4 linked regions of the Notamacropus eugenii genome follow. The protein of the gene in region 4 purifies or fractionates together with the protein of the main gene of each other region. This does not show direct contact. Links are inferred from orthologs where the notes say so. Each region holds a gene or a part of one and is shown on either strand. Other genes may lie near its edges. The genes, in order: ERLIN1, TMEM259, AMFR and TMUB1.

The links.
Region 1: the proteins of TMUB1 (region 4) and ERLIN1 purify together in Homo sapiens (affinity purification with mass spectrometry; 3 studies listed by BioGRID and IntAct, with this or other methods). This does not show direct contact. The link is inferred for Notamacropus eugenii from reciprocal best matches to the Homo sapiens genes TMUB1 and ERLIN1.
Region 2: the proteins of TMUB1 (region 4) and TMEM259 purify together in Homo sapiens (affinity purification with mass spectrometry; 3 studies listed by BioGRID, with this or other methods). This does not show direct contact. The link is inferred for Notamacropus eugenii from reciprocal best matches to the Homo sapiens genes TMUB1 and TMEM259.
Region 3: the proteins of TMUB1 (region 4) and AMFR purify together in Homo sapiens (affinity purification with mass spectrometry; 3 studies listed by BioGRID and IntAct, with this or other methods). This does not show direct contact. The link is inferred for Notamacropus eugenii from reciprocal best matches to the Homo sapiens genes TMUB1 and AMFR.

The regions. Positions count from the first base shown.
Region 1 is NC_092872.1:249,189,583-249,197,176, reverse strand, and holds the start of ERLIN1 (erlin-1), read left to right. Parts: upstream 1-4,589; 5' UTR 4,590-4,711; intron 4,712-5,171; exon of another isoform or gene 5,172-5,261; intron 5,262-5,435; exon of another isoform or gene 5,436-6,241; intron 6,242-6,656; 5' UTR 6,657-6,667; coding exon 6,668-6,780; intron 6,781-7,594. UniProt on the Homo sapiens protein: Component of the ERLIN1/ERLIN2 complex which mediates the endoplasmic reticulum-associated degradation (ERAD) of inositol 1,4,5-trisphosphate receptors (IP3Rs).
Region 2 is NC_092875.1:61,373,605-61,381,215, reverse strand, and holds the start of TMEM259 (membralin), read left to right. Parts: upstream 1-4,608; 5' UTR 4,609-4,866; coding exon 4,867-5,157; intron 5,158-7,611. UniProt on the Homo sapiens protein: May have a role in the ERAD pathway required for clearance of misfolded proteins in the endoplasmic reticulum (ER). Promotes survival of motor neurons, probably by protecting against ER stress.
Region 3 is NC_092872.1:473,920,818-473,928,233, forward strand, and holds the start of AMFR (E3 ubiquitin-protein ligase AMFR), read right to left. Parts: upstream 3,011-7,416; 5' UTR 2,694-3,010; coding exon 2,415-2,693; intron 1-2,414. UniProt on the Homo sapiens protein: E3 ubiquitin-protein ligase that mediates the polyubiquitination of lysine and cysteine residues on target proteins, such as CD3D, CYP3A4, CFTR, INSIG1, SOAT2/ACAT2 and APOB for proteasomal degradation.
Region 4 is NC_092874.1:94,994,929-95,001,966, forward strand, and holds TMUB1 (transmembrane and ubiquitin-like domain-containing protein 1), read left to right. Parts: upstream 1-4,025; 5' UTR 4,026-4,122; intron 4,123-5,312; 5' UTR 5,313-5,339; coding exon 5,340-5,725; intron 5,726-6,180; coding exon 6,181-6,532; 3' UTR 6,533-6,958; downstream 6,959-7,038. UniProt on the Homo sapiens protein: Involved in sterol-regulated ubiquitination and degradation of HMG-CoA reductase HMGCR. Involved in positive regulation of AMPA-selective glutamate receptor GRIA2 recycling to the cell surface.

The sequences.
Region 1 (7,594 bases), on a different chromosome or scaffold from region 4:
ATTAAGGGATCAGTGTGTTGCCAAGTCTGTGAGTCAGTGGTCAGGAATAAGGCTGGGTCTAGGACTGGAATTAGTTTTACAGGTTGTGCCTGAGAAAAGTCAATCTTGTACCCCATTTCAGCTTGTGGCCAAGGATCTGCCACCATCACCTCTATACAGATGAAGTCCTAAAACTTTATTCCTACCTTTACTATCTTCCCAGGTCCTAGGCCAATTTTTTCCAGTTGACTCATAGACATCTTCACCTGACTATCCAGTTGGTATTTTAATCTCAAAATATCCAAAGCTGAAATCAGTCTTTCTTTCTTCCCTATACCCAACCTGCCCTGCCCTTCCTTTTAACATGTTTCTCTCGATGATGTTACCATTTGTTCATTTATTTTTTACTTGAATAGTCTTGATAATTATCTCTCTCTGCAATATCTTTTGCTGTCTCCCTTCTCTCACCATCTATTGTAACATTGTTTTAGAGTCTCTTCTAGGTAATTTATTTAAATAGCCTCTTAATTGGTCTTCTTGCCCTGGTTTCATCTCCCCTCCATTTAAATTTATTTGCTTGTCTGAGTAATCTTTCTAACCCTAACCCACAGTGATCTAGTTATTTCTAATGACAATTAGCATTTGTCTGTCCCTTTAAAGTGTTCAGAGCGCTGTGTATACATTTTCTCATTTGCTCCTTGCCACAAAGCTATAAAGGTGGGGCCCTTGGAGATCTCTTCCATCTTTCCATCTATAATCCTGTGACTTCAAGTTCAACGGTTCTTTTCAACAACATGCTCAGTTGTTTCAGGTGCGTCTGAGTCTTCATTACCCCATTTGAGATTTTCTTGGTAAAGATCATGGAGTGGTTTGTCATTTCCTTCTTCAGCTCATTTTACAGATGAGGAAACTGATGCAAACAAGGTCAAATGACTTGCCCAGGGTCACACAACTAGTAAGTGTCTGAGGTAGCCTTTGAACTCAGCTCTGTCCTGATTCTACTGCTATCATATAGCTGCCTCAGCTCTCTCTACTGGGCTAAAAAAACCTTCTTCATTGCCTACCTACTAAAGTATAAACTGATCTTCACTTTCAAGGTTACCTACCATCTGGTTCCAATTTACTTCATAGCCTTATGTTTATGCTCATTCTCTCATTCTTATTCCACCTAGTCTGTCTCCTTGCCTGTTTGGTTATGTACACCCCCCAGTGGCTCTCACACAATGGACACTTCATGTTTGTTAGATTTGCATCTTTTTGAGAGGTAGCCTCAAATGGTGGGATGATCATGGGTTAGCCTTTTAGTGCCTCACACAACTCTCTGCAAATTAAAAAAATTGTATTTTGATATTTGAGGTATGGGGATTGGAGTCATATATATGTATATATATACACACACACATATATACACATATACACATACATACATACACACATGCATAAATACATATATACATACATACATATATATATAAAATTTCTGTGTTTGTCCTCCGTTTTCCAAGAAGACCATGCCATCAGAGAAATGATGACATGTCTTGCACTTGACTTTGTTTTGAGTGAGGGAGGGATGTGCAAGGTTACAAACCTCACTTTCTCTTCTGAACCATCCCATGTTCCTGAACCTATTATTCAAGTCCCTAAACAATTGGGAAGCACCATACCTGAAGGTCTCATCCAACTCTAGATCTACCTCTTGACATGACTTTGTATTTACTTATCTATGTCCTGGAAGCATGGCCCCATGGGAACAACTCTGGTTCTGGAGTCAGAAGAGCCTTCCTGGGTGGCTCCCCCTCTACAGCTCTCATTTCTTCCATGTTCCAGTGAGGGGAGTGCACTCAATGGCTTCTCACATCCTTTCTGCCCTAAAAGTATGAGGCTGGCTTTTACATTGGGATCCCAGAGACTCCTTGAAGGGAGGGACACTTTGTCTTAGTTTGCAGATTACCTAGCAAAGTACCTTGTACAGAACAGGCACTTGGTACTTATTGAACTGAATTGCCCTTAGATAGCTTAGAAGTACCATGATGTATTTATCTGTGTCCCACCTGCAACTTAGCCCAGAGGTGGAAGTGTCTGAGAAAATGCAGAATTGAAAAAGCTGGTGCAGATGCCGGGAGGCAGCAGCCCCTGGAAGTGGGAAGATGAGGCTTCAGTTCCTGGCCCAACTCCTCCTTTTACTCCTCTGGGCTGAGTGGACAAATACTCCACTGATTAAATCACAAGACCAGCTTAAAAACAACCACCAAACTAAGGACTTCTCCCAGGACATCTAGGTTGATTTCCCTAGAGTGCTGAGAGATTCGAAGACTGACTCAGGGTAACACAGTCAGGCGATGTCACAGGCAGAACTAGAACCCAGATCTCATGACTCCAAGGGCAGACCTTTATTCCCAGTGCTAAGCTGCCTCTCAACACTTGAGCTAGGTTTGAAAAGCAATGAAGGATGGGAATAAGCATTTGTATCCTACCTAATATGTGCTAGGCACTGTGCTAAGCACTTTATAAATAGCATCTCATTTGATCTTCACAACAACTATTTGAGGTATGTGTCATTATTATTCACATTTTAGAGTTGAGGAAACTGAGACAAACCTGATGTTAAGTGACTGGACCAGTTGCTAAGTATTTAAGGCTGGATTTCAACTTACTTCTTTCTGACTCAAGGCTCAGCACTGCTTTCACTTCGCTACCTAGTTTCCTGCTACATTGTGGAATACAAATGAATACAATCTGTCCTTACAAGCTACATAATGACACCCTTGGAATTTCCTCTTGTCAGACTACTTATTTATTAAGCACACACCCACAGTCCTGAGTCCTTCTGACTCTATGGTACAAAAGGCCCAGCTGAGGATACTTTCTCCCAATGTAGCTTGGTACCTTTGCAACACACAAAACCAGTACGTTTCAGGGGTAGGATTTGAACTCAGTCTTCCTGACTCTGGGGCCAGTTGTCTATCCATTGTGTCTTGCTGCCTTTTTCTTTTTTTTTTTGTTGGTACAAATTTTTAAAAAATTATTATCTTATTTGTTTTCACTGTTCTACAATCATTTCCATATATCTTAAATTTCCCCCCCTCCCTCCCCTCCCTCCCACTCCCTCCCTGAGAGGGCATAGTTTTATATAGGTTCTACACATACATTCCTATTAAATACATACCTTAGTCATGTTGCATAGAAGAATCAAAATGAATGGGAGAAACCATAAAACCAAAACATAATACAAAAGAAAATGATCTGCTTCATTCTGTGATCTGAATTCCATAGTTCTTTCTCTGGATGTGGAAGGCATTTTGCCTTAAGAAACGATTGGGAATTTTTTAAGTCTTTGCACTGCAAGAAGTACCAGAAAAAATTCCTTGCACACTGTGGTTGTTGCTGTGTATAAAGTTCTCCTGGTTCTGTTCCTTTCACTCAGCATCAGTTCATATAAGTCTTTCCAGGCCTCTCTGAAGCCTTCCTGTTCATCATTTCTTATTTGCTGCCTTTTTCTTTTCTAAGAGGAGATGAATGGGCATCTTACTTCTTGGTGTGTTGTCACATCTTTGAAAAACAAAGTTAACCCCTCCCACAAGATCACAGTGAGGAATTTCCACTCCCATTTCTGAGTTGTAACACAAGCAAGATCATCCAAGTTTTTTCTCTCATATATAATAAGTTGTTAAAAATTCATTTAACTTTTGTTTCAAATTCTTTTCCTCCCTGTAAGCTTGCTCCCACACACTGAGAAGGCAAATATATGATACTCCCATAATAAAACATAATAATTGTTTTAATCATTTAAAATAGTCTAATATGTCCAAGCATGAACTTAAGCCTGTTCAACAAGCATTTATTGGCAGTTAATAACTATAAGTTCAACTGAGCTAAAATCGAAATATAAGAAGCAAACCCATCCTCCAGGAATAAAACAAAAAGAAACCCTCCCCCCTACTTCCCCCCCCTCCCCACTTTCCCCCCTTCCAAGCAAACCTTTTGTTTAGGAGAGGAGTTACAATAAAACTTGAATGAAAAGAAATGGATGTTTGTTCACTTCAAGTCCTTATATCTATCAGAATTATCAGTTGCATAATTACTATTTCTTTTTCATAACTTTCACTGCAACTTAGTGAGAAGTTTCTGCAAAAGAAAGAAATGAATTTGACATACCAGACACTTCCAGTGGTTTGTTGAAATCTCTGTTTCATTTGATTCATTCCTTTCTTATACATGCATATATGTATGAAAGTATGCTTGTTCAGAGAAGGCAGGCAGAATCTTAATCTTTATTGGATCGACTGGGCAGCTGGGAAGGTGGATGGCAGGCAAAGCTGAGGGGCTGCCCACCTAGCTGTTTGCTCTATCCCACAGCTCCCTAGTGAAAGAGAAAACCTCCCAGAAATTGACATGGTGCACAGGAGCTTCAGGGTCTATGTCCCTGCCCCACCCTTCCTCGGAAGCAGGCCTCCCACGCCTGTGCCACGTGGATCTAGGCTCCTATCCTAACATCCCCACCAGGGGGAGACAAACCCAAGCAACGCGCATCGAGAGCGAGAGACCAGTTTTGTCTCGGCTCACTCGCCGTCTCCCCCTTTTGACCGTACAGGATGTGACCGCGCATGCGTATACCGGGCGCCTGCGCAGAAGCGCGGGACTGTGGGCCCGCCGGCGGTTGTGGGCGGCCGGTGGTCCCTGGCAAGGTGGGCGACGAGCTCGGCGCGTCGCCGGGGAGATGCGCAGCCGATCGGTGAGACTGGGGGCGGGCGGGGAGGGCGGGAGGCAGAGGCATCCTCCCTCCTCAGGGGGCTGTACCTGAGGGGGAGGCGGCATCCGCGGGGCAGGGGGCGTCACTGAGGGGCGCGGCCGTCACAAGCCACCTCCGCCGAGGCGGGGGCCGGGCACCCCGGTCCCCCAGGTTGTCCCGAAGGGCGGGGCTGCCCGCCCGGGCCCGAGGCTGAGGGGAGGCAGGGAGCAGAGGCGATGTCAGGCAGGGGCGGGGGCTGCCGCCGGGGAGAAAGCAGGTGTGGGGGGCCCGGTAGAGGAGGTGCCCGATGGGGTCATCTAGTCCAGCTCCTGCTCGGACTGGCGACCTGCAGCCCCTGGCGCTCCCCACCGGGAAGCCGAAGCCCAGGCCTTCTCTGGGGGAGGGACGTGGATGACTTGTACCCGAGAGCGGAGGGGGTGGGAGGGAGAGGAGTTGCTGAGAACTTGCTGGAAGAGACCGGATTTGAACTCGGGTCCTCCTGACTCCCGGGCCGGTGCTCCGTTCCCTGGGCCACCTAGCCGCCTCTAAGCAGGTCATCTGGCTACACAGTCAGCCTTCTTTTCCAGGGCAGTCTGGAGGGTGGTGGCTGCAGAGGAGCAGGCGACCACTCACTAGCGGGGATGATCAGTGAGGGGTGGGGCAAGAATGGCCGGAAGGGAGGGTCAGAGGCTGATGTGAGGGGGTGTCCCGGAGGGCAGTTTGTGTCTCTTCGGTCAGTCGGAGTCCAGGGGGAGTATTGAGGCTGAGCCACTCCTTAGGTGATAGGAAGTCATGGAGGAGGGGGAGATCACTAAGGGTGGACTTAGTCACAGAGAGAGAAGGAAGAGTCACTTGGGATTCCCTGTTTCTTTGCCCCTGAGAAGCAGGACTGAAAAGTGGATATCCTGACGGGAGAGAGTTTGCCACTAGACTTGGAAGACTCAGGGCTGTCCAGCTTCCACCTGACACTGTGTGACCACGGACAGTTCCCTGGCTTCCCTGACACTATCCCTTAGGGATAAGGATACCTATAGTCCTTACTTCCTAGCATTGCTGTTAGAATTAAGTGAGATAAGTTGTATGTGAAGCTGGCTACATTAAGAGACTGTACATTAATGTCAGCCGTTATAAGGACTGTCTGAGGCAAAGTGGAGGGACCATTTGTCAGGAATAGACATTGTCATTGAAGGGGAAGGAAAAATTATCACTTAAGAGAGTGGGCGTTTCTGGAGGTGTCTCTGGAGGAGAAGGGGAGTAGGAGGTTTTTTTTTTTTTACTGAACCAGAAGGTTCGGTCACAGGTAGGAGTGAGGATCCTCACAGTGAAGAGTGAGGGGAGACCATGTTAAGGCTAGTGACTTTGTAGATGGGTGTGTTGCTGAGGGGGGATAAGTAGGGTAGGAGATGTCTGATCAGACTGAAATTCATTGAGGGAGGAAAGAAAGAGTATCGTTGAAAGGGAGATTCTAGAAAAGAGGGATTATTGGTAAAGAGGAAGTGTCTTGGGAAAATTGCTGTTAACTGAAGGAAAAAGGTATTTGTCAGGAGATGTTGTAATTGAGAGAGATAGAGATTGTCCTTGAGGGATGGATGGGGTGGCTGGGTGGGGTTCATTTAGAATTATTGAGTGAGAAAAAGGGGGTTGGAGAGGGAAGGGGGAGTGAACTGGTGGGCTGAATGGAAAAGATGTGATAAGTGGGTAATGGAGGATTTTGTGGGAATAGCTGTTGGGGAAGAGGGAGGTCACTGGAAATAAGGGTGGAATTATGGTGGGTTTTGGGCAATGGGTGGGTCAGAGAAGAAGGGACCATTTCTATGAGGGTGCAGATGAGGGAGGGGAGGAAGAGAGGCTCCTTTGGAGACCTAGACTTCTCAACATTGGTTATAGAGAGGGGACTGGACCATCTGGGGAAAGGGAGATCAGAACTATTGGTTCGCTCCTCATATAGGAAGAGCCAGGATGAATATGACTCAAGCCGGGGCTCTGGGGGCTGCAGCTGCAGGGCTGGTGGTGGTTCTCCTCTACGCCTCCATCCACAGGATCGAGGAGGGACACCTTGCTGTGTACTACAGGTGAGTGCCAGGTCATGGGAGCCCAACAGACCAGTGTGTACATCCAGCCTAGGTTATCCAACAAAGACAGCTATGATCCCTGGGAATTTGGAAGTTGTCCTTACTACAGTATTGTCTCAGAGTCCTGGAATTGGGTTGATTATCATCAAGCAACCTTTGTGAAGTACATAGTACTGCGGGGGGCGGTGCCACCGACATTGGTTACAACTGGTTTGACTTTTACACACTGCAGAGGCCCAGGGTTGTCCTTGAGCCTCAGTGGCATTCAGTGTTTGTGGGGCTGGTACTCTTATTTGTTTGTTAGCTTCTTCCTGACAACCTTTTTCTCCAGGAGTTTTCCTGAATCTGATCACTCTAAACAGTGACCATAACACATTATGGCTAAGAAGGATGAGATGCAGATAAATGTGTAAATAGTTTTGGGTACACTCTACTTTTCCTCCTTTTCAGCCTGTGTTAGTCTAGCTTACAGGGTAAGGGGAAAATAGTGTGGAAAATTTAGTTTCTCTTAGATGTTATTGCCAGCACTTCTCACAGAGATCTGTTATCTACAGGGAGATCAGTCAATGGAGGCCTTGGGCAGAGAGTTAATTAAAAGAGTATTACCACTCCCAGTTTCAGTGTATCCTTTCTCCTAACTCTTGAGTTGAACACATTTTTCTAATTGAGGACATAGACATACTTTAAACAAGCTTGTTTTTGAATATTTTTACAGGTAGGTCACTATAGGGGTAATTTGGTAGAAGAAATGACAAACTGTGACTAGTAGTTAGGAATGGTATTTTGTTTCAAATTAACAATGACTTGGATGTAC
Region 2 (7,611 bases), on a different chromosome or scaffold from region 4:
TTTCAGACTGTCTTGGACTGGAAATCTCTTTCACGCTATCATTTTGTGGCTTCTACTGCTCTAGAATTTGCTTGGAGTCATTTTTTACAGGTATTTTATGGGCTATGGGGGTAGAGTTAGAGCAGGTCCATCCTTGTACTCTGCCATTTTGGCTCCTCCTTCTCCATAAACATAATTTTAAAACATCAGTAAGATGCAAAGAGAAGATGAATAAATGGATGGGACTGGATGAGGTCATCAAGAGAAAGTATAAAGAAAGAAAAGATAATAGCTCTGGATAGAGCCTTGGGGTTCACCCACATTAAGGGAATTGGACTTGGACAATGATCCAGAAAAGGAGGCTAAGAAGGAATAGTCAGAAAGACAGGAGAAAAACCTGTGTTCTTCTGATATGAAGAGAGCTAGGTCATAGAAACCAAGTGAGAAGAAAGTAGGAGGGTGTGGTAGGCAGTGTCAAATGCTCCAGTGAGGTCATGAAGGATCATAGGATCATTAAAGGTCATCTGATCCAACCTCCTCATTCTAATCTTAATTTCCTCATCTGTAAAATGGACTTTGAGGCACCAGTTACAGCTGTATTGGTATTTTCAACTTTTAACAACATTATCTCATTGGATCTTCACTACAATCCTGGGAGATAAATGCTATTATTATTTCCAATTTACAGCTGAGAAAATCGGAGCAGACAGAGATTAAATGATTTACCCAGGGTCACAGAGCTAGTAAGTATCTGAGGTTAGATTTGAATTCCGGTCTTCCTGATTCCAGGTCCAGCACTCTATCCACTATGTCATGAGTTGACTAGAACAAATATGAAGGGTTTTGATGGAGTTCTCTTTAATGGCCTCTGAAGTGTCTTTAAACTCTAGATCCTTTATATCCCTAGTTGATTGGAAGACCTATCAACAACTTGAGCCTTAACCCATTGGACCAATCAGATCTCAAGGACAACTTCCATGCCTTTCAGGGGAAGCTGTAGCCTAGCCTACATGGTTTGGTCCACTGGAGATCTCTTCAAGACTTTAGAATCTGGGAAGGTAAGGAAGGGATGCAGTTTATACAAGGCTGTCATGGGGCTCCCAAACATATAAGAATGAAATGAGAAAATTTGAACCTTAAAGTCATAGATGATTGGTTGTTACAATTGCTTTCTGTGCCTCTGCCTTCCTCTAAAGCATCACCTCAAAACAGGCTAGGATAAATAGACTTCTGGGCCAGTTAACACATCTCTTTATTAGGCCCACAACCTTCCCAAGGCTGGTTGTGAGGATCTCTAACTAGCTTTATTCAACTGAAGGTCCCCAGCCCTCACTCTTAGGGCAACTAAATTCCATTCACTCCTTCCTTTCTTTAGCCTCTCACTTAGTCCTTTTCCTCCTGGAAAAGCACTCTTACTGCTTTCTACTTGCCATTTTTTCATTCCTTCTCTCCCATTTTCTTCCCTTTTGCAGTAATTGTTCAGTCATTCAGTCTGTATCTGACTCTTCATGACCTTCTGGACCATAGCCATAGCCCTTCCATCCTCCACTACTTCTCCAAGTCTACCCAAGTTCATGTTTGTTGTTCCTATGATATTATTTGTCCATCTCATCCTCTTTCATCCCCCTTTCCTTTCACCTTCAATCTTTCCCAACTTCAGAGTTTTTTCCAGTGAGTCCCATCTTCCCATTATGTGACCAAAGTATTTAAGCTTCAGCTTTGGTATTTGACTTCCAAGGAATCGCTTCAATTAATTTCCTTAAATATTGACTGGCTTGATTTCTTGTCGTCGAAGGGACTCAAAAGTCTTCCTCAGCACCACAGTTTGAAAGCATTGATTCTGCAGCACTCAGCTTTCTGTATATAGTCCAGCTCTCACAGCCATATATTGCCACTAGAGAAACGATAGCTTTGACCATATGGACCTTTGTCAGCTTTTGAGTATGTTGTCCAGCTTTCCTTCCAAGGAACAAGGGTCATTTTATGGCTGCAGTTACCATCTGCAGTGATCATGAGCCCAAGATTATAAAATCTGACGCTGTTTCCATTTCTTCTCCTTCTATTTGCCAGGAAGTGATGGAATCAATCACCAAGATCTTAGGGTTGTTTTTTTTTTAATGTTAAGGTCCAAGCCAGCTTTTCTACTCTCTTCTTTCACCCTCATCAAGAGGCTTCTTAATTCCTAGGTCATGCAAATTACCCTGAGGTTTGGAGTAGCCTCAAGATGGCACTGGAAATACAGACAGCTGGCTCCTTCCTTGCAGAGGCCACAAAAGTTTATGTCCTCCATTCCATGCAAAGTGAGAGAATTGGACTAGATGTTTTGTGAGGATCTTTTCTGTCTTGAAATGCTATCAGTGACTTATGGGAGAGGGCCCAGGAAAAATCTACTCTTCCAGAATCCCAGATTTGTCCCCAGCCTGGTTTCTTCCTGGGTCAATGTCTTCTTCCTCAAGAATTTGGAGCCTTCTAGTATGTAGTTGGTTGGCAAGATGCCCAAGAGCTTCTTCTTCCTTCAGTGTCTGGTTGGCAACATCACTTCAGTGATCCATGAATTCATAGAATTTGGGGTTGAAAGAGTTCTCAGCAGAGACCATTTAGTGCAACCCCTCATTTTATAGATAGGGAAACTGAGGCCCAGGGAGGTTAAAGTGACTTTCCCCAAATCAGAGAGCTTGTAAGTGGCAGTCAAGATTGTGAAGCTAAACCTTCCATTTCTAAATCCAATATACTTTCCAGTATCCCACTGGGACAACCCCTTTACTAGTTGATCTTCAGGAGTTGGCTAAGGTCTCATCACTATCTTGTCAAGTCTGGTGATGAGCCTCTCAGAAGTTAGCTATGTTGGTCCTCAGGGGACTGACATAAAGGGCTATTGACCAGACTTTGGGTTTTGGCCTTGTAAAACTTTGTTAAAACATTTTGGAGATACCTTGTTTCCCAGAGCTAAGGGCCAGCAAACAGGCTGTGTCCTGACCTTGACAACAATAATCTTTTGCACTCTGGATGATCTCACCCTCTGGCAAAATGTATTGCACCAGGTCTTCAATCCTTCTATTTCCCAGTGACCTGAGAGCCAATATCTACCACGTCTCTGACATGCTCACAATCCCTGTCCTTGTCACAGAATTCTGGTTCTGTACCCCATAGAATAATCATGATCCCCAAGACTTGGGACAATAACGTTTCTATAGGACCCCTAGGAACAATAACGCAAGACCTAAAAATGATTATATCATAGCCCAGTCCACATGTATATAAACATTGCCTGTACCCCAACATGTTAGACCCTCGTCAGGAGCGGGGCTTCCTTGGATGCAAGTCATTTTCCTCACTCTGAAATAAATTATACCGCTACTTTGTATCCGGACACATCTGCCTCTAGCTCCTCTGGCCATGCCCAGGTTAGAGACTGGTCCAGTCTGGACTCCATTCAAAATTCTATTGACAACCCAGAGAATCTTTGCCAAGGAAATCCCATGGATTTTCCCAGAGAGCTCCACAAGGATCATGGGTCTGACAGAACCGACAGAACTAAAACGACTGAACAGTTACAACAATCCTAGCCCCTGGCGCATAGTGGGTGCTTAGCCATTGATTGTATCCGGGACCAACACACAGTAAGTGTCTTGAACTGCGTGTTTGCAAGATCTCTTTGAGGTGAACACTATTATCCCCATTTGACAGATGGTGAAATTGAGCGTGAGGAAATGTTCAGTGACTCGCCCTCAGGCATACAACTAGTAAATGCTGAGCTGGGGTTCAAGTCCACCACTTTACCTCCATTCCAGGGTGTTGAGGTTTCTTCCTCTTCCTTCCCCGCCCTGATCTCACTACACTTATGCTGCCTCTTACAGGACAATAAAAGAGGGAGGCCACCTGGAGCACAGGGATGCTCCTTCCACCCTCCTCTGGAAGCTTTGGTCCAGGGGTTTCAGGTACAGGTTGCTACGTTTCACATTCAGTTGTACACAGGCTGAATGCTCCTGGCCTCCCTATACATGAGAGCGAGCGAATGTGAGCGTGTGTAGATATATAAACACATACAGATATACACATATTTAGACATATATACAACCTCCAACAAAGACCCTTTCCAGCTCTGAAATCCCTCGCGTCTGCCAGGCGTTACAGAAAAACTTTGGAGGAGTTTGAAAAAATATGGAACGCTTCACGAATTTGCGTGTCATCCTTGCGCAGGGGCCATGCTAATCTTCTCTGTATCGTTCCAATTTTAGTATATGTGCTGCCGAAGCGAGCACGAAAATCAGGGGCTAGCTCCTGCTATTTAAGGCTGAACAATAGATCTATTTTATGATTAGGATGACTAGTATTGCCACACATCATTTTTCTTTTTATTCTTCTCTAGATGAAGCCAGTCTCAGAATAAGAACTCAACGTATAATTGAAAAGTAAAATTTTCCCACTTTATTCGTGTTGCACTAGAAATGCGGTTGCATTTGCAAAACTTCGAGTCGAAGCTTGTGCGGCGGTGGCTCACGGGAGAGTATGCAAAAGACGCCTTGGCTTGGCCCCGCCTGGGCGGCCGGGAACGGAGGGGAGGGCCGGAGAGGGGGAGGGAGGGAAGGGCGGAGGAACCGACTGGAGGGCGGGGCTGTTCCTCCAGCGTCCCAGGATTCACCGCGGGCGAAGCCGTCTCGTCAGCAGGGCCGGGGTCGCGGCGACTGAGGCGGCGAATGGCGGCCTGTAGGCGCCTGTGAGGAGGCGGCGGCGCGGCCGGAGGAGAAGCGGCGGCGTCCGGAGCGTGGGGCAGGGGCGAGGGCGAGCACCCGGCGGGAGCGCCGCGGCCCAGGAGGGGCCCCATGGCGGCTGGGCCGCCTTCCCTGGGAGCCCCGGCCTGTTAGCGCCCCGGCGGCCCAGAGCAGAATGTCGGAGAACCCGCCGCCGCCCCCGCCCGGCCCCGGGAACGCCCCGGGCAGCGGCCCTGCCAACTCGGCCGGCGGGGCTGGGCCCGGGCCCGGGGGGGCGGCGGCCGGAGGCGGCGGGGCCGGGACCCCCCGCGGGGCGCGCACCCCCAACCTCAACCCCAACCCCAACCCGCTCATCAACGTGCGCGACCGCCTCTTCCACGCGCTCTTCTTCAAGATGGCCGTGACCTACTCGCGCCTCTTTCCGCCTGCTTTCCGCCGGGTCTTCGAGTTCTTCGTGCTGCTCAAGGTGAGCCCGAGGGCCGCAGCACCGCCCTCCCCCCCGCTCCGCCCTGCCGGGCTCAGCAGCCCCCCCATGGGCGTCGTGCCCCCCTTGTGCGGAGCCGCCACCCCCATGGACGTCCAGCCCCCCAGTGCCCCCCTTGTGCAGAGCCACCCCCATGGACGTCCAGCCCCCCAGTGCCCCCCTTGTGCAGAGCCACCCCCATGGACGTCCTGCCCCCCAGTACCCCCCTTGTGCAGAGCCGCCCCCATGGACGTCCTGCCCCCCAGTACCCCCCTTGTGCAGAGCCACCCCCATGGACGTCCTGCCCCCCAGTGCCCCCCTTGTGCAGAGCCACCCCCATGGACGTCCTGCCCTCCAGTACCCCCCTTGTGCAGAGCCGCCCCCATGGACGTCCAGCCCCCCAGTGCCCCCCTTGTGCAGAGCCGCCCCCATGGACGTCCAGCCCCCCAGTGCCCCCCTTGTGCAGAGCCGCCACCCCCCTGGACGTCCTGCCCCCCAGTGCCCCCCTTGTGCAGAGCCGCCAGCCCCCCTGGATGTCCTGCCCCCCTTGTGCAGAGCCGCCACCCCCCTGGACGTCCTGCCCCCCAGTGCCCCCCTTGTGCAGAGCCGCCAGCCCCCCTGGATGTCCTGCCCCCCAGTGCCCCCCTTGTGCAGAGCCGCCAGCCCCCCTGGACGTCCTGCCCCCCAGTGCCCCCCTTGTGCAGAGCCGCCAGCCCCCCTGGATGTCCTGCCCCCCAGTGCCCCCCTTGTGCAGAGCCGCCACCCCCCTGGACGTCCTGCCCCCCAGTGCCCCCCTTGTGCAGAGCTGCCCCCCTGGACGTCCTGCCCCCCAGTGCCCCCCTTGTGCAGAGCCGCCCCGATGGACGTCCAGCCCCCCAGTGCCCCCCTTGTGCAGAGCCACCCCCATGGACGTCCTGCCCCCCAGTGTCCCCCTTGTGCAGAGCCGCCCCCATGGACGTCCAGCCCCCCAGTGCCCCCCTTGTGCAGAGCCGCCCCCATGGACGTCCTGCCCCCCAGTGCCCCCCTTGTGCAGAGCCGCCCCCATGGACGTCCTGCCTCCCAGTGCCCCCCTTGTGCAGAGCCGCCCCCATGGACGTCCAGCCCCCCAGTGCCCCCCTTGTGCAGAGCCGCCCCCATGGACGTCCTGCCCCCCAGTGCCCCCCTTGTGCAGAGCCGCCACCCCCCTGGACGTCCTGCCCCCCAGTGCCCCCCTTGTGCAGAGCCGCCCCCATGGACGTCCTGCCTCCCAGTGCCCCCCTTGTGCAGAGCCGCCCCCATGGACGTCCTGCCCCCCAGTGCCCCCCTTGTGCAGAGCCGCCCCCATGGACGTCCTGCCCCCCAGTGCCCCCCTTGTGCAGAGCCGCCACCCCCATGGATGTCGTGCCCCCCTTGTGCAGAGCCGCCACCCCCCTGGACGTCCTGCCCCCCAGTGCCCCCCTTGTGCAGAGCCACCCCCATGGACGTCCTGCCCCCTGGTGCGGAACCCCCCCATGGATGTCCTGCCCCCCTTGTGCAGAGCCACCCCCCCATGGACGACCTGCCCCCCCAGTGTCCCCCTTGTGCAGAGCCGCCACCCCCATGGACGCCCTGACCCCCAGTGCCCCCCTTGTGCAGAGCTGCCACCCCCCGGACGTCCAGCCCCACAGTGCCCCCCTTGCGCAGAGCCTGCCCTGGAGCACTCAACACTCCCCTGATGGACATCCAGCCTGCAGACCCTGTGGTCTGTGATGGACATCCTGCCTCCCTAGTCTTTAACAGCCCCTCCCACCCCCTACCCTTTGCCTTTGAGGGCTGTACTTCACATTGATCTGACATCTTGTCCCCAAAAGTCTTTAACACTCACTATTTCCTCCTTGCCCCCCAAATCTGGGCCCTCTGCCTTCATCTGAGAAGAGGGGGGGATAGTGAAGCTATTTGTGGATTTGGGGGATCTGAATCCAAACTCGAGGTCTTGAGCTTAAGAGCTGTGTGACTGGACCCCCTCAAGGCTTGGTTTCCTGTCCTTACTTGGATGGAGGTTAGACCAGGTTCTAAAACTGATTCTGACCCACTGTCCTGCCCCTGAATCAGCCAACAAGTATTAAAAGCTTACTATGGGCCAGGCACTGTACTGAGTGCAGGGAACACAAAAGACTGGGACCCAGTGCTCAGGGAGATAACCTTCTGGTGGGAAAAAAAACATGCAAGCCTTGTAAGAGCCATATAAAGGTACACACGGGGAAAGACCCTGAGGATTTTAAAACCTCCACCTCGGTATCCCTTTCCAGATCCTATCCCCCTGCAGCCACTTTCATGAGTCTGTGCCCCCCCCCCCCAATTTTGGAAGGCAGGATAGTGCATTGAAAGAAGCAGTATATTTGGAATTGGGGGGATCTGAATTCAAATCCTTTCTTTGCCTCTTTATAGAGTTGTGAGATGGACTTACTTTTACCGCTTTGGGACTTCTTTTCCTTTTTG
Region 3 (7,416 bases), on a different chromosome or scaffold from region 4:
AACAAAAGAGGAAAGGAAAGAGAAAAAAGGAGGTAATAAATATAATGTATCAAGAAAAAAGAAGCTGAATAATTTTTAGCTGGCCTGGTACAATAGCTCAAGAGGTACTTATAAGGATACAAAAAGCCTTGAAAAACTACCATCATGCCAAATTAACAGAAGTGTAGAGTTAAGAGAAATGAATCTGAAAATATAATAGTGCCTATTACCTTTACAAAAGGGAAAGCCAGGCAATGCAAAATAGCACACGATAGCAGGTGAAAGTAGAGACCACTGAAAACCAATAAGGAAAAAAAACCTATAGTAAAACAGAAGAGAACAAGTCAAAGAAGTCACTAATCTAAGAACCATGGAGACTCACCTTGGTGTCCTTAGGGATCCATGCCATAGATGTATCTTATAAACAAGACCAATTCATTATAAGATTATTTTAGACACTTCAATAACTCAAACTCCTCTGGGACACTACATTATACCAAATTGTTCTCAGCTCCGAACAACATTACAGTAATGTTCCAGTGCAAAAAAGCAGGTTAAGGAATAAAAAGAGTAAGAAATGAAAAAGTAAAGCAAGAACAAACCAATCTGTAAGAAGGTAAATGAAATGCAGTAAGTCAAGATTAATGCAAAGCAGAAATATGAGAAAAAGGAGAGGAAAAAGATCAACTAAGAAATGAAAAATATATCCACATACAGAAGAAATAGAAACCTCAAACTGAGTCATCTATTAAAAAGCAGACAGAAAAATGAGGGGGAAAAGACAATTTTAAAAGAATAACTCACAAAAAAATCACTAGGCTTTACCTAATATTTTATGAATATATTTAAGACTACTGGAATTTCAACAGTAGATATGTAAGAAGAAACCCCTAGGAAAAAATCACTAAACAATACCAGTGACTGTTTGTTATATAAGCACAAGAGCTACTTATCAAAGACTTATTTATATCTTAAGTTTTAAGAAAACCCCCCCCACATATTAAAGATATTATAACCTTAAAGAATTGTCAAACTCCATTCTTCCCATTTAAAGTAAGCAATTTTCAAACTAAACAAAGTACAAAACATTAATTTCACTTAAAATTTCAATGGAATGAAATGAATTCTTTCCCCACTGCTATCCTAAAAATAGCACGCTACTACAGAGTATCAGTGCTACATGGAACAAATGGACCCAGTATAAATAGAGGTAAAGAAATTTCATGTATCTTGCATATATCCCTAACTTTTAAAGTCAGGAGAATTCGAATTTCAAAATAACAAGAACATCTCTATAATCTTCTCAAGTTTATAAATCTGTTTCTGAAACAGTGGTATTAATTTGAAGGAACTGCACACACTCTTGTGATTTTGGATACCAAGTGAATAGTCACAGAGAGGCTGACACTGACCTAAAAGGGCAAAGTGAGTGACAACGAAATTGACAACGAAATTGACAGTCTCCAATCGTGGAGTAACTGTACTTGGTGCTGCATGGTTTACACGAGAAACACACACACACACACACACACACACACACACACACACACGGATATATACCCCTCTTTTAGACTGGCTATTTATGTATGGCCTTCTCGACTTTCTTAACTCCTTTCTCGGTTCACGTGCCAGCACAAGCTATATTTCTGAAAGTGTAGGTTGCCTCCGTCTGGATATTGGTTTCATGGTTAAGTAAAGAGAGAAAACCAAACACGCAAACAGGTCCTTGCTAGACAGCGGTAAAAGAGAACAAGATCTTTCAGTGAGAAAAAATGGGCCTTATTCATGCCAAGACAAGGAAGTCTACACTCAAGTCTACAATTCTGGATCACTCAGAATCAAAGCTCCTAACATTCTTCTTCCCTGTCTCTGGAAAGCTCATTAATACAGTTATACTGCTGACAACCTCTGAAATTCACGCTCCTTAAAAAAAACTCCCCAAATGTGGCTGATCTCAAGGGAAAAAAAAGTTCCCATCCACATATGGAAGCACCGGAGTTGGAATAAAAGGATGTGGAGTTCCAATTCAGCCACGAATTTTCTACCCCTGTGACCACAAGTACGTCGCTTTCCCCCTGTGGCCCTCAGTTTACTCATTTGTCTCATAAGTACACCCCCGCACGCTGGAGCGGTGACCCCGACGTTCATAAACTCCGTCTCCGCTGCCCACTCTGATATGCTGCCTCCTATCCGAGGGTGCGGGGGGGAGGGGAGGGACACGGGGTGCGGGGGTGATTGTCTTTACGTACTCAAAGGCGTCCTTTCAGGGGCGCTCTGCAGGATCCCCTAAAACATGAAGGCTCCTAACCCACAGCTCCCAGTTACCCAGAGCTGTCGATCTCCTCCAGCTCAGGCGCCCCTCGCCCGGCCCCGCCCCCACTCGGGCTCCCCTCCGAGCCCTCCGCCCTGTGCCCAGCCCCCCCGCACCCACTCACCCACACGAACAGGCTGTCGGACAGCAGGTACTGGGCCACATCTCGGGCCCGGGGGCCCCCGGGGCCCGGTAGGGCGCTGGGCTGCGGCGGCTGGGGCTGCAGCGGCTGCTGAGGCGAGGCGAGCGCCTCGGGCTCTCCCGGGCCGGCGCCGGGGCCTGGCTCGAGCTGGCTGAGGGCGCGATAGGCGCTCACGATGGTGCCCAGCAGCGCCAGGCCGCTGAGGCCTGTGTAAGTGCGGAGGCTGGGCCAGGGGAAGCGCTCCAGGAAAAGCAGCGGCATGGTGGCGGGGATAGCGGCCCTGGGCCCCGGGCCTCGCCTCGCAGGCCCCGGAGCTGCCTCCCTTCTTCCTTCCCTCCCTCGCTCCCGCCCGCGCAGCCTCCTCCAAACGGCGGCGACTGCGACGGCGACAGCGCTCCTCGGCTCTCCGCCGCTCGCTCCCGCTCCCGCTCCCGCTCCCGCTACTGCCCCTGCCGGCGCGGAAGAGCCTCGGCCACGGGGCCGGCGGCCGCCCCTCCCGCCCCGGGGCGGGACCCGACCGGCCTCGGGCCCTCTCCTGGGCCGCTCCGAGCCGCGGAGCCCAGAGCCGCCCGCCTCCAGGTTGGGGCTGAAGGCGGCGCAGCTGACCCTCCCTCCTCCGCCTCCAGAAATCATAAACCCGCGAGGGCTGGGCGGGAGATCGGAAGAGCCAAAATAGCTCGGGGGAAACTAGTCGCGGGAAGGGCCCCGAGGCAGCCAGGGCCCCAGACTTTAGAGGCGGAAACTGAGGCCCAGAGCAAGGTAGGGACGGCTCCGGGGCTGCAGGCACAGGACCGGGGTTTGGGGCTAGGAGAGGGGCCGAGAGGAGACTAGGGCCACCTGACCTCCGGCCCCGGCCAGCGTAAAGTCCGTTCGGCCCGGCCCGCGCTGTGGGCTATTCTCGGCCGGGCCGGCGCTCCGCGAGGTCCCCCCAAGAAGCTGCGGTTGCTGAGCGGTTCGACCGGTCCTCCCCCGCCGCCTCCCTTCTCACTAAGAAATTAACAGAATTATTTCGTACACTCCCGTCACCTGTTAAGTTCGGAAAGCTTCCGTCTCCTCGAGAACTGACGATTTTTAAAAGTCGAAAGCTGCTAAGCGCACCAACTCCATTCTGGAGGGAAATACGGTGGCTCTGGCGGTGGGCTGGGAGCCACAGTGCCGGAGTTCAAGTTCCTCCCTGGTGACCCTGGACAAGTCACTTACTGGCCCTCAACCTGTTTATCTGTAAAATGAAGATAATAGCACCCACATCGAAGGGTTACTCTGAGGATCAAGTGCTTTACAAATATCAGTTATCATTGGCTTCTTGGATTAGGAGCTGCATAGAACTGTAGCTGAAAGAACAGTGCCCAGCCTACAGTTTTTTCCCCAAGTTCAAATGCAGTCCCAGTAGTGTGACCCTGGGCAAGTCACTTAGCCCTGTTTGCCTGTTTCCTTATCTGTGAAATGAGCTGGAGAAGGAAAGAACAAGCCACTCCAGCATCTCTGCCAAGAAAACCCCAAAGGGGTCACGAACAGTACTTGGCTTAGAAGCGCTTCCGTCCTTTTTTCATTCACTCAACTGATGCAGATCGAACAGAAACATAACTATTTGTGCAACAACCACGGCATAGAAAAAGGGAATTGAAGAACCAGACAAAACACCACTGCCAACGAATGATTCATTGTAACTGTGAAATGAGATATTTTCCAACACACCCATCATAAATTTTCTTAGTTTTGACGGTGCTTGTTGCCAGAGGGCTTTTATTGTCAAGAACACCGAAGGCAGCAACATTGATACAAAGATGTGTCAGCAAAAAAAAAAAAAAAAAAAAATTTTAAATGCTGAAGCAAATTCAGAAGGGGACATAAACAAGTAGGGTGATGTAGGTCCTACCAGGCTGAACGTCATTTAAAAAATAAGCTTTAATACATTCGTGGTTTCACACCTAATCCCCATTTCATCACCTTTGGATATATATGGATATAGGTTCATGTTTGAGGATTTTCTTAAATCAGTTTTTTTTTTTTTAAATTGGTGCTGCACTGTCATTTTAAATTACTTTGAGAACTACCTAGAAAAAGAGGCAGTTTGCAGCCGTGGAGAGCCACTTTAGGCAACCTTAAACCCTCCTGCCCTCAATTTCATCAATAAGAGAGGTGGAACTAGAAGTTTAAAGTTATCGGTCAAATGTAATACCTACAACCTGGCTCAATACTTGTATGTTGAAGTAAATTCCCCCAACAGCCAGTTATTTATTCCCTGGGCTTAACAGAGTACTAAAAACTGAAGGTGCTTTCAACCACTTTAGTAATTTCGTCTCTAACTAGTCACCATTGTATTGGCCTCACTGCATCAAGATGACTTTTTAAGCACTTGTGCTCCCTCCAACGTTTACAAACTATGGTGTTTCCATCCCCATGATGGAGAAAAAAATGGGGAGGATCCAAGAATATTTGATCAAGGTATGAAAACTACTTGATTCAGTCCAACAAGGCCTTGTTTTATATAAGCAGTAAGAGCATAGCATTATGAACTGGAAGGAACCTTGGAGTCTCTGGTCCAACTCTTTTATTTTACAGATGAGGAAACTGAAGCCTAAAAAGGAGAAATAACTTATCTATGTCCAAACTGTTATTATAATAGCCAAGATTTGAACTTGGGTGCTCTTGAGTTCAAACCCAGCAATTCTTTTTACTACACTGAGTTACTCAAAATAAGGTAAAAAGGTAATAGTCTTTTAAGAGAATTACTGATGTGCAGGGCAACTATAAATCCTGGTACTGATTTTTAAATGAACTAAACCCTCTACTGCATACTATATTAACTCTGTGAACCTGGGCAAACTTTCCTCTTCTAAGACTTATCAGTTGCAGGCCTGCATGAAATCACAGGTACAGTTCCTATCTTAAACCCTATCAAAATCCAAGCCACAGTGCATTTAGCAATGGGAGATATTCCCAACAGGTTTAAGATGATACCCTACAATTATAAGTAAATGTTGTCAAAAGTCCTTTCAGTTTAATATTACATGTCACACTACTACTTTTCCATATTTTAAGATAACTTGACACATCCTTTTCCCTTTTTAAAAAATACGGTTTTTAAGTTCCTCTCTACATTTAGTTTTACACATATTCCACCCCCCCAATAAAATTTGCATTGTGCATAACAGCTTTCTATTTATGTTCCATTTTGCAAAGAGACTAAGCTTTCTGAACATTAAATGTAGGATTAATTTAAGTGGTTAAGATATTTTACAAGTGGGTACATATTGATGTTAATTTCAAACACCAGAACTTAATAAACCTTCTTTACCATAGGAGTTCATTTAAAAAAAAAAAAAAGGCAGAATTTCTAATGAGAAGAAGAGGTTTACTATACAAGGGGACCTGTTCCTAAACACTCACAGAATCTTTGTTTTAAATGATTTTTATTTAAAATGACAAAGGGAACAGCAATGACCTTTTAAACTAAGCTCTTGCATTCTATATGTAAAAATAAAACCAGAACTTATATCTTTACAGTTTCTAAGAATCTAATACTGCAAATAGCTATTGATGCCAAACTAAAGATGCGTACACATCTTCCTTTAAAGACGATATAAAAATTTAACATTAGCAACATTCCCGCCCTCCATGGCTTAGCATCCTAACTGGGCACATTCTTCCCTACTTACAGTTCCACCTTTATGATGTACTTTGTCACTAAAACACAAACTATTTATACAAAGCAGTACTAGCTTTTAGCACCAGATTTCAAGCAGTTTCTCAGAAAATAACAAATTTGCCAAGATGTAGAAGTGACTTGAAAATGCCATTATTAGTAAAATGGACTTTACTGACCAATTCAAATTATGTTTTTGTTCTTTAATCATTAAATGATTCAGGCAAACACCAAGAGTCCAATTAAATGCAATCAAATACTTCAGTGATGGAAGAATTATGAAGCATTACTCTATTATAAAATGCAGAGGTGGAATTATTATAGTTCTAAACATTTCTTTGAACTTTCCTTGGCAAGACACACAAAGCAGCAAGCTTCTTGAAGCTGTCTTAGAGATCAGTACAATTTGTTCCAACCATTATTAACTAACAAAAATGTTAAGCCTCTTGAAATCAGGTAATCAAAAGTTTCTCCAAGGATATGATCTCAGAAACGCTGTAGTACGTAAGAGACTAAATGCCTTAAAAAACAAGTAGGAACTGAAGAATCAACATACTTCACTTTTCTAAATTTAGAAAGGGATTTTCATTTGGAACAAGCTGTGAGTTATCAAATGGACTAGACTGTTAGCTTCTGTCATTTGGAAAACCTTATACTTTCTTACCTAAGATTGAAAAGTACAAACCCACTAAGCAAACTGAATCACACTCCCTTCATGTGCAGTTCTCAAAGGTTAAATTTTTACTTGAAAGTACTGTAACAAAGTAATTGCAAGTTGTAGGGATGGGAAAATCATTTATGACAGAAAAATTTCTCCATCTACTGCATTAAACTTGGCATTTTCTAATTAGTATTATCATACTACATTTTAATTACTTAACAAAGTTTCACAAGTCTTAGTGCTTCTAAAGACTTTTAGAATATTAGTTTATTTTTGTAGTTTCATACATAAAAAAAATTTAGGCCATATAAAATGCTTGTTTTGACACTGAAGAGATCTTAAGGCAAATAAATATAGATTCTACATTTTCTGCCCCAGTCTACTGAATACTTTAAGGGCTATTCTGAATTCACTTTTCAGTGACGATTACTGCAGCCAGAAATATTCAAACTTCCTTTGAATATTTAAAGTGAATGATACTATATATTGCAGTTTTAAAACAATCAAACAAGGAATCTAATGTCTTTTACCTGATAAGGGCTCAATAAATACTTGATAAATAAATGTCAGTGAATAGAAACTTGTTGAACAAACACACATTCATAAACCTTATTAAATAAATTTTAAATTAGTACTGTTGTTAGTTCACATATCATGGGGACTTAATGAATAATGCT
Region 4 (7,038 bases):
GTTCACAAACGGCCTCCCACTCTTGGGGGGCGGAGGGGGGGTTCCGTCCTGAAAAAAGATCCTGAGGTCCAGGGAGTGAGGGTAAAAGCCCTGGGGTGGGGCGCAACCCAGCCCCCTCCCAGATACCTCCTCCCCACTCCTTCTAATGCCCCAGGGGCGGCTCCCCAGGAAGCAGCCGCATGGATCTGAGCAGGCGGTTCTGCAGAGCACGGGTGGGGACTGGAGGGCGTGGAATAACGGGCCCGCGCCCACGCGGCCCCCGGCGCCGAACCACGCGCCAGGCCCGGGCCCGCAGCTCCCCCGCCGCGGCGTGGGGGGGTGCGAAGGGTGAGGGGAGGAGAAGAGAGCCGGGGGCGAGCGCCAGCCTCTGGGGCCGGGAGGGGCCCGGCCCGGGAAAGCTGCCATTACCAGGGAGGCTCCGGATCCCCAGCCCCCAGGGAAGGACGGAGCAGCTGCCCAGACGCCTCCACCGGAGCGGCCCCACCTCCCGCGCCTCCAGTTCTGGATGCTCGGCCCCCTCCCCCCGGCCCTTTCACCGGTCAAACTCGACCCTCCCCCTCCCCATTCAATCTCGGGGGTTCGGCTCTCGCGCCCTCCACCCCGGGCCCGAGGCAGCGCGAGGCAGCGTCCGCAGTCTGCAGACGGGGCGGCCTGAACCGGGGCCCCAGGGGAACGTGGCTCGGACCCCAGCCCGAGCGGAAGCTACACGGCCTAGACCCCAGCCCTGCAAAGCCCTCAGACGGGAAACGGCGTGGCTGGGCCCCAAGGAGCCCGCGGACGGCCGCTGGCCACGTCCGGCCCCGGGCCCCCTTCGGATGGCGGCTGGAGTGCCCCGGGCCCCTCCGGCCCCGCAGCCCGCGGCGTCCCCGCGCCCGGCTTACCCTCGATGGAGATGACGTGCTCTCGGATCTGGTTCTGCAGCCCCAAGTCCTCGATGCGCTCGATCAGGTCGTAGATGGCGTAGATGTTGGGGTGCACCGACTCAAAGCGCTGGATCTCGGCCCGGATGGCCGCCGAGTTGGACAGCGCGAACTGCTGGGGGGGCCCTCCGGCCAGCTGCTGGGAGGGGCCGCCGGCGCCCCCAGCCCCGGGCCCCGCGCCGCCGAACTGCCCACCGCCCCCACCGCCCCCGCCGCCAGCCCCCGAGGCCGCCAGGCTCTGCTGCTGCTGCGGGCTCTGCCCCCCGCCCGCCTGGAAGTTCATGGCTCGGGAGCCGCGGGGGCCGGGCCGGGGCGGGGGCGGCGCTGCTGCGGCGGCGGCGGGGGTCGGGGTCTAGCAGGGGCCGGGACCGCGGAGCCGGAGGTGCGGGGCTAGCGCATGGAGCCGGAGAGCCGGACGCGCCGCCGCGGCTGCTGCAGACGCTGTGGCCGCCGCTTCCCGGGCGCCCCCCGGAGCCACGAGCCCGCCGCCCGCCGCCGCTTCCCCCCAGCAGCCAGCGGCAGCGGCAGCGGCAACAACAACGGGACCGGGAGCGCGCCGCCCGGGCCCTCCCCCCGCGTCATGCGCACGCACCGCCGCCCCCGCCGGCACCGGCACACGCAGCCCTAGCCCCCCTTGCGGCCGCCCCCGCCCCGTCCCCTCCCCCTCCTCGGCGCGCGCTGCCCGCCGCCTCGGTGTCCGCGTCCGCCTCCGCTCCCACCCCTGCGTGCCCCGAGCTTCTCTCGGCCTCCGGAGCCCTTCCTCCTCTGCCCCTCCCCCGGGCTCCCCAGGAAATCTGCTCCAACGCTGCGCCTCGCCCCTTGCCTCGAGCCTGGGAGACGGCGCCTCCCCCTTGGTTTACTTTCTTCACTGAGTGGTCACGGACTGACTGCCCAGGTGCCTCCTTGCCCTCCAGGGTCAGCCCCTCACGGCCCTGGAGTGACCCGACATGCCAGGTCTCCGGTGGGCAGTGCCTGGGCTCTGACTGGCTGAGAGAGGAGGGACCAGCGTCCAGGCCAAGCTTAGTGCACAAGTACAAGGACTGGCACATAGTAGGCGCTTAATAAATAGAAAGCTGTCTTGCCTAAATCTGGCTTTTTATTCTCAGACAGTAGCAGGGCCAAGGCTTGACGTCATCATGCACTCATACATTCATTACTGGTATATTCTATCATGGCCTGGTTCTGCCCCCCACCCCAAGCCCAGTAGTTTCTCAGTTCTGGTTCTAACAGTATTGTCTTTGTGTCCCCAACACCTAACACTTCTGTGTTTAATTTTTAAAAAATATTGATTGAAATATCTCCAGAGCATCACACCTCAGGAGTCAATGTGTTGTATTCTCCATCACCCTAGCCTCCTATTATTTAATTCTTTGTTCTTACATCCCCAAGGTAGTGCTTAACACATGGTAGTCTGTTAATAAATACTTGATTGATTTATAGGATAGAAAGAATTAACTGGAATATAACTAAGCAGGGTTGCATACTATACAAAGAAATCAACCAGGGACAATAAATGTTACTATACACTCTCTTTGCCTTTGCCAGTCCTGTTCAAGAGGACCTACCATAATGTATGTCTGTTCGTTTTCCTTTTCTCCAAGCCCCTTTCCTCCTTTATTTTGGCTTGTGTTCAGCTCATGTAGATCCAGAAAACCATCTATAATTTTCCTCCCCATCCTTTTCCTCTGCTGGAGATGCCTCTTCTGTTCCCTGGAAATCCTTAAAATCTATTCTTCTGATCTGGAACTTCCAAAATAAGGAATTCCTACTAGTCAGACCTGTGATGTTACAGGCAGGCTTTTTGTGGTAGAAGATATATCTTCAATCTTCTGCCGTCTCTTGTTCCCAAAGTCGAGCTGCTTTGAGCCATTAACTTTTCTCCTAGTGTGCCCAAGGGTTGCTCCAAAGTCCCTGTGGGGTTACCCTTGGAACTAGTTGCTAGCCAGTCAGCACCTAGTAGCTCCCTGGGAGATGTGAGTTCAAGTTTCATTTTTGTCATTGATTAGCTGCGTGGGCTTGGACAATCCAAATTACTTTTCTAGGCCTCCGGTCCTCTGCCGTAGGATTGAAGGAATGGGACTAGATGATCTATAAATTCCCTTTTAGTTCTAAAATTCTCTTATTCTAAAATATCTTGCAAGATAACTAAACATAACGTATTCATATGGTGCTTTGATTTAGAGTTATGTAGCTTTGTAAGGTTTACAAAATGCTTTCCTAACTAAAAGTCTGCAAGGTGAGTCGTGTAATTATTATTTCCATTTTACAGAAGATAAAACTACTACTCACATAAGAGTTTGCCAAGTTCACATAGCTGGGGAATGGAGAATGAGATTAAAACTAAGACCTTCTTATTATAAGTTGTAATACAGGGGTGAGGTCCCGGAAGCACAGGGAAAAATGAATTTGAAACCAAAGAAATTGGAAAGGGGAAGTTGTAGGTGTGGGAACTAGACGCCCCTCAAAGTTGGATAGGTATCAAGACGGGCACAGTTCTGGGGCTCATCTCAGATTCTTGGTACCAGGTTTCTATTAAAAAACAACTGGTGATGGTATTTGACTGGGTTAGTTTCTCTGGCAAGTCACTTTCTGTGAAAAGAGAAGTGAATTCGGAATGAGGCAACCTGCTACTTAGTGCGATATTAGGCAAATCCCTGTACCCCCTCTATGGGTTTCACTTTCCTCATCCACAAAATAAGGACGTTAAATGTTATTAGGGTTCTTAAAGCGGAGTCCTTGAAGTGGCTTAAAAAATATCAGGGTAATTACATTTCAACATAATTTATGTTCTTTTTAATTCTGAGTTTTACTTTATGCACTTAAAAACATTTACCTCAGAAGGGGTCGCCAGTCTTCATCAGACTGCACACGCCAAAAGGACAGATGACCCCTTCCAGCTTTGACCCTGCCTTGCAGCTGGCCAGGGTTACTTGGGCTGAAGAAACCCAGAGAAAGGGTACTCCCTTTCCTGACCTTCCCCATCTTCTCCTACTCTTTCTGGTCCCAAGCCCGGGAACGTTTCCGGGACAGTTAGGCGATGAGGGGGCGGGGCCGAGTGGCATCCTCGGGACTACAAGTCCCATAATGCTCGGGGCTGGTCTGTGCGGGGCGGGGGGGGGGCGGGTGGACAGGTAGGAGCGACCTCGGCGCCGCGCTCCCGGAAGTACTGGGGTGTCCGACATGGAGATGGACCAGCTGCGCGGTGAGTCGAGGGCACTGGGACCCCTGCCAGTCCTATTCTCCCCACCTCAACTGCGGCCCCAGGTTTTCCCACAGCCTCCTGCAAACCTTTTAATTTTGAGGGTGTCTTTTGGGGTGGAGGGAGCTTCCCAAGGGGATCCCGGGTCCCGGGCTTGGTGATGGGGGAGGGCGGGGAGAGGATAGGACCGGACAGGTGAATTTGGGGGCTCTAGGAAACAGAGAAGAAAAAAAATACCCATAGGGTGGATTTGGGGCTTGGTGAAAGGGGGTAGTGGGTTCTCTAAAAAGATAGGAAGCGAGGTTCCATAGGATGGGACTTGGGGTTTGGGGGTGAAAGGAGTGGTGTAGAGATGAATGGGGGGGTGTTTAGGAGACATGAATTGGGTCCCAAGGGAGGGGACTTGGGTTTTGATGATGGAAGGAATTGTGTGGCGATGGGGGTGGGGGGTGCCTTTAGGAGACTTGAATTTACGGTCTCAAGGGATGATGGAGGGAGGAATTATGTAGTGATGGGGGCGCGACAAGCGTTGAGAAGATATGAATTAAGGTTCAAGAAGGTGGACTTGGGGTTTGGAAAGTTGTGTAAGTTGGGGGAGGGGTTTTAGGAGACAGAATTGAGGTTCTAAGGGATGGGATTTGGAGTTTAGTGATGGGGGAGAAACTGTCTAGAGATGGGGTTGAGGTCCCAAGAAATGGGATTTTCAGTTGATGGGAGTGGTATATGGAATCAAATTTAGAGGCTTTTAGCGAACAAAAGAGTAGAATTAATATTGTAGTAGGGAGGGGCATGTAGAAGTGGGTTTGGAGGCTTTAAGATGCAGAGAAGTTGAATAAGTTAGGAGTTAGAGTTTGATTGATTGTGGGGGTGTTGTAATTGAATAAAGTGGGGGGGCTTCAGAAGACCAGTTGGGAGGTCCAAAGGTGGAATTTGGGGTTTGGTGATAAAAGAGCAGGTTTAGAAGACAGAGGCTTTAGAAGACAGCAGTGTTGAGGTACCACAAGGTGGGATTTGGATTTTAGAGATGAGGAATAGAGAAGTAGGTTTGGGGACTTTAGGAGACAAAGGAGGGCAGCTGGAATTCAAGAGTTGAGGGCTGTTGTGAAGCTGGACTAGAGTGGGGAATAGAAGACTAGTGAAATAAGGGGGTTTTAATAGGCCAAGATCTCACTGGTCTCTTTATGTCCTCATAGCTCAGTAGCCTGGCCTAGGCGGGTGCCATGGCCCTGATTGAGGGGGTGGGGGACGAGGTGACTGTCCTTTTCGGGGCACTCCTCTGTCTCCTGGTGCTGGGCCTGGCCTGGATCTCTACACACACCTCAGAACAAAGTGATCTGCTGCCCCAGGACTCAGGGACCCCCTCCCCACCACAGTCCAGAGAGGTTGCAGTATCCACAGTCAGCAACAGCCAGGATGCTTCGGGATCTGAGGCCCCCACACTGAGACACCGGCTACCAAGCTTACAGTCAGAGCCTGGCACGGTATCCCCAGAAACACCACCCCCCAGCTCTCAGCCAGGACCCTTGGTGCTTAGGCTGAAGTTCCTCAACGACTCTGAGCAGGTGGCTAGAGCCTGGCCCCACGATACCATTGGCTCCTTGAAAAGGTGAGTAGGGGTGGGGAGAGAAATGGGAAAGGCAGGGAAGGAGATGCTGAGAGAATGGGTTGGAGTCGGATATAGAAGCTCAGAGGTCATCTCAGTTCAGTGGTATCAAACTCAGAAGCAGACCCCTGCAGGGACTAACTGACTTAAAAAACCACAAATTCACATCTCTGGGGCATTGTATTTTTATTTATTTTGTTAAACACTTTCCAGTTACATTTAACCTGGTTGGAGGTCGCTGGTTTGACACCTCTGAGCCTGCCTAATTAGTAGAGGAATTGGAGGCAAGCCCAGATCTCCTAACTGTAGCGCTATACCGGGCTGCCTCTCCTCTCTGATGGACTGCGGGCTAATGGGATGGAGAAGGGCAGTGGAAGGGGGGCGGGAACTGTTGCCACAAGGCGTAGGACTAGGATTGGCTGAGACCTGCTCTCTTACCCAGGTCCCTCTCTCCTCAGGACCCAGTTTCCAGGCCAGGAACACCAAGTTCGACTCATCTACCAAGGGCAGCTTCTAGGAGACGATGCCCAGACACTGGGCTCACTTCACCTCCCCCCCAACTGCGTTCTCCACTGCCACGTGGCCGCCAGAGCAGGTCCCCAACACCTCGGCTGCCCACCGGGGTCAGAGACCGGCCCCTCGGGGTTGGGAGTGGGCAACCTGCTGCTCCCGCTGCTGCTTCTCATGCTGACGCTGCTTTGGTACTGCCAGATCCAGTACCGACCCTTCTTTCCCCCAACCGCCACCCTGGGCCTGGCCGGCCTCACCCTGCTGGTCAGTCTCCTGGCCTTCGCAATGTACCGCCGCTAGTGCCTGCCCGGGCCCAGGGCCGCAGCCACCCCGGATCCCTGTCTCCGAGGCACGGCGGGGGCTGCTGCCTGCCCCGGCCCGCCGCTCGGCCGTGCCTCTTTCCCCTGCCCTGGAGTCCGGCTCTGCACCGAGAGCTGCGAGGGCCCTCGGAGCCCTCCCCATGTGACCAGCACTGCTCCCGGCTGGGCCCCGGGACCGCGGGCGCCCACCCCCCGCTGAGAGCGGCCTCGCCGCCGGGCCGCTGCTGCCCCTGCCTGGGGGTGCAGGGCGTGCCCAAGCCTTTGGGCCCCTCCAACGCGCAGCCTGCCCATGCGCCGTGAGAGTTGCCAATGACCCCCAGAGCGCCTGCCGGGCTCGCAGGACAGGACCGTGCCGCCGCTCTGGTTCTTTGCATAGACTTCTATTAAACAAAAATGTGAATTCCCAGCGCAGCGGGCTGTGTGCGTGCGTGCGCGTGACCTGGACAAGGGAGGGGCCTGCGCGGAGCAGCGGAGTCCCCGGGGGCG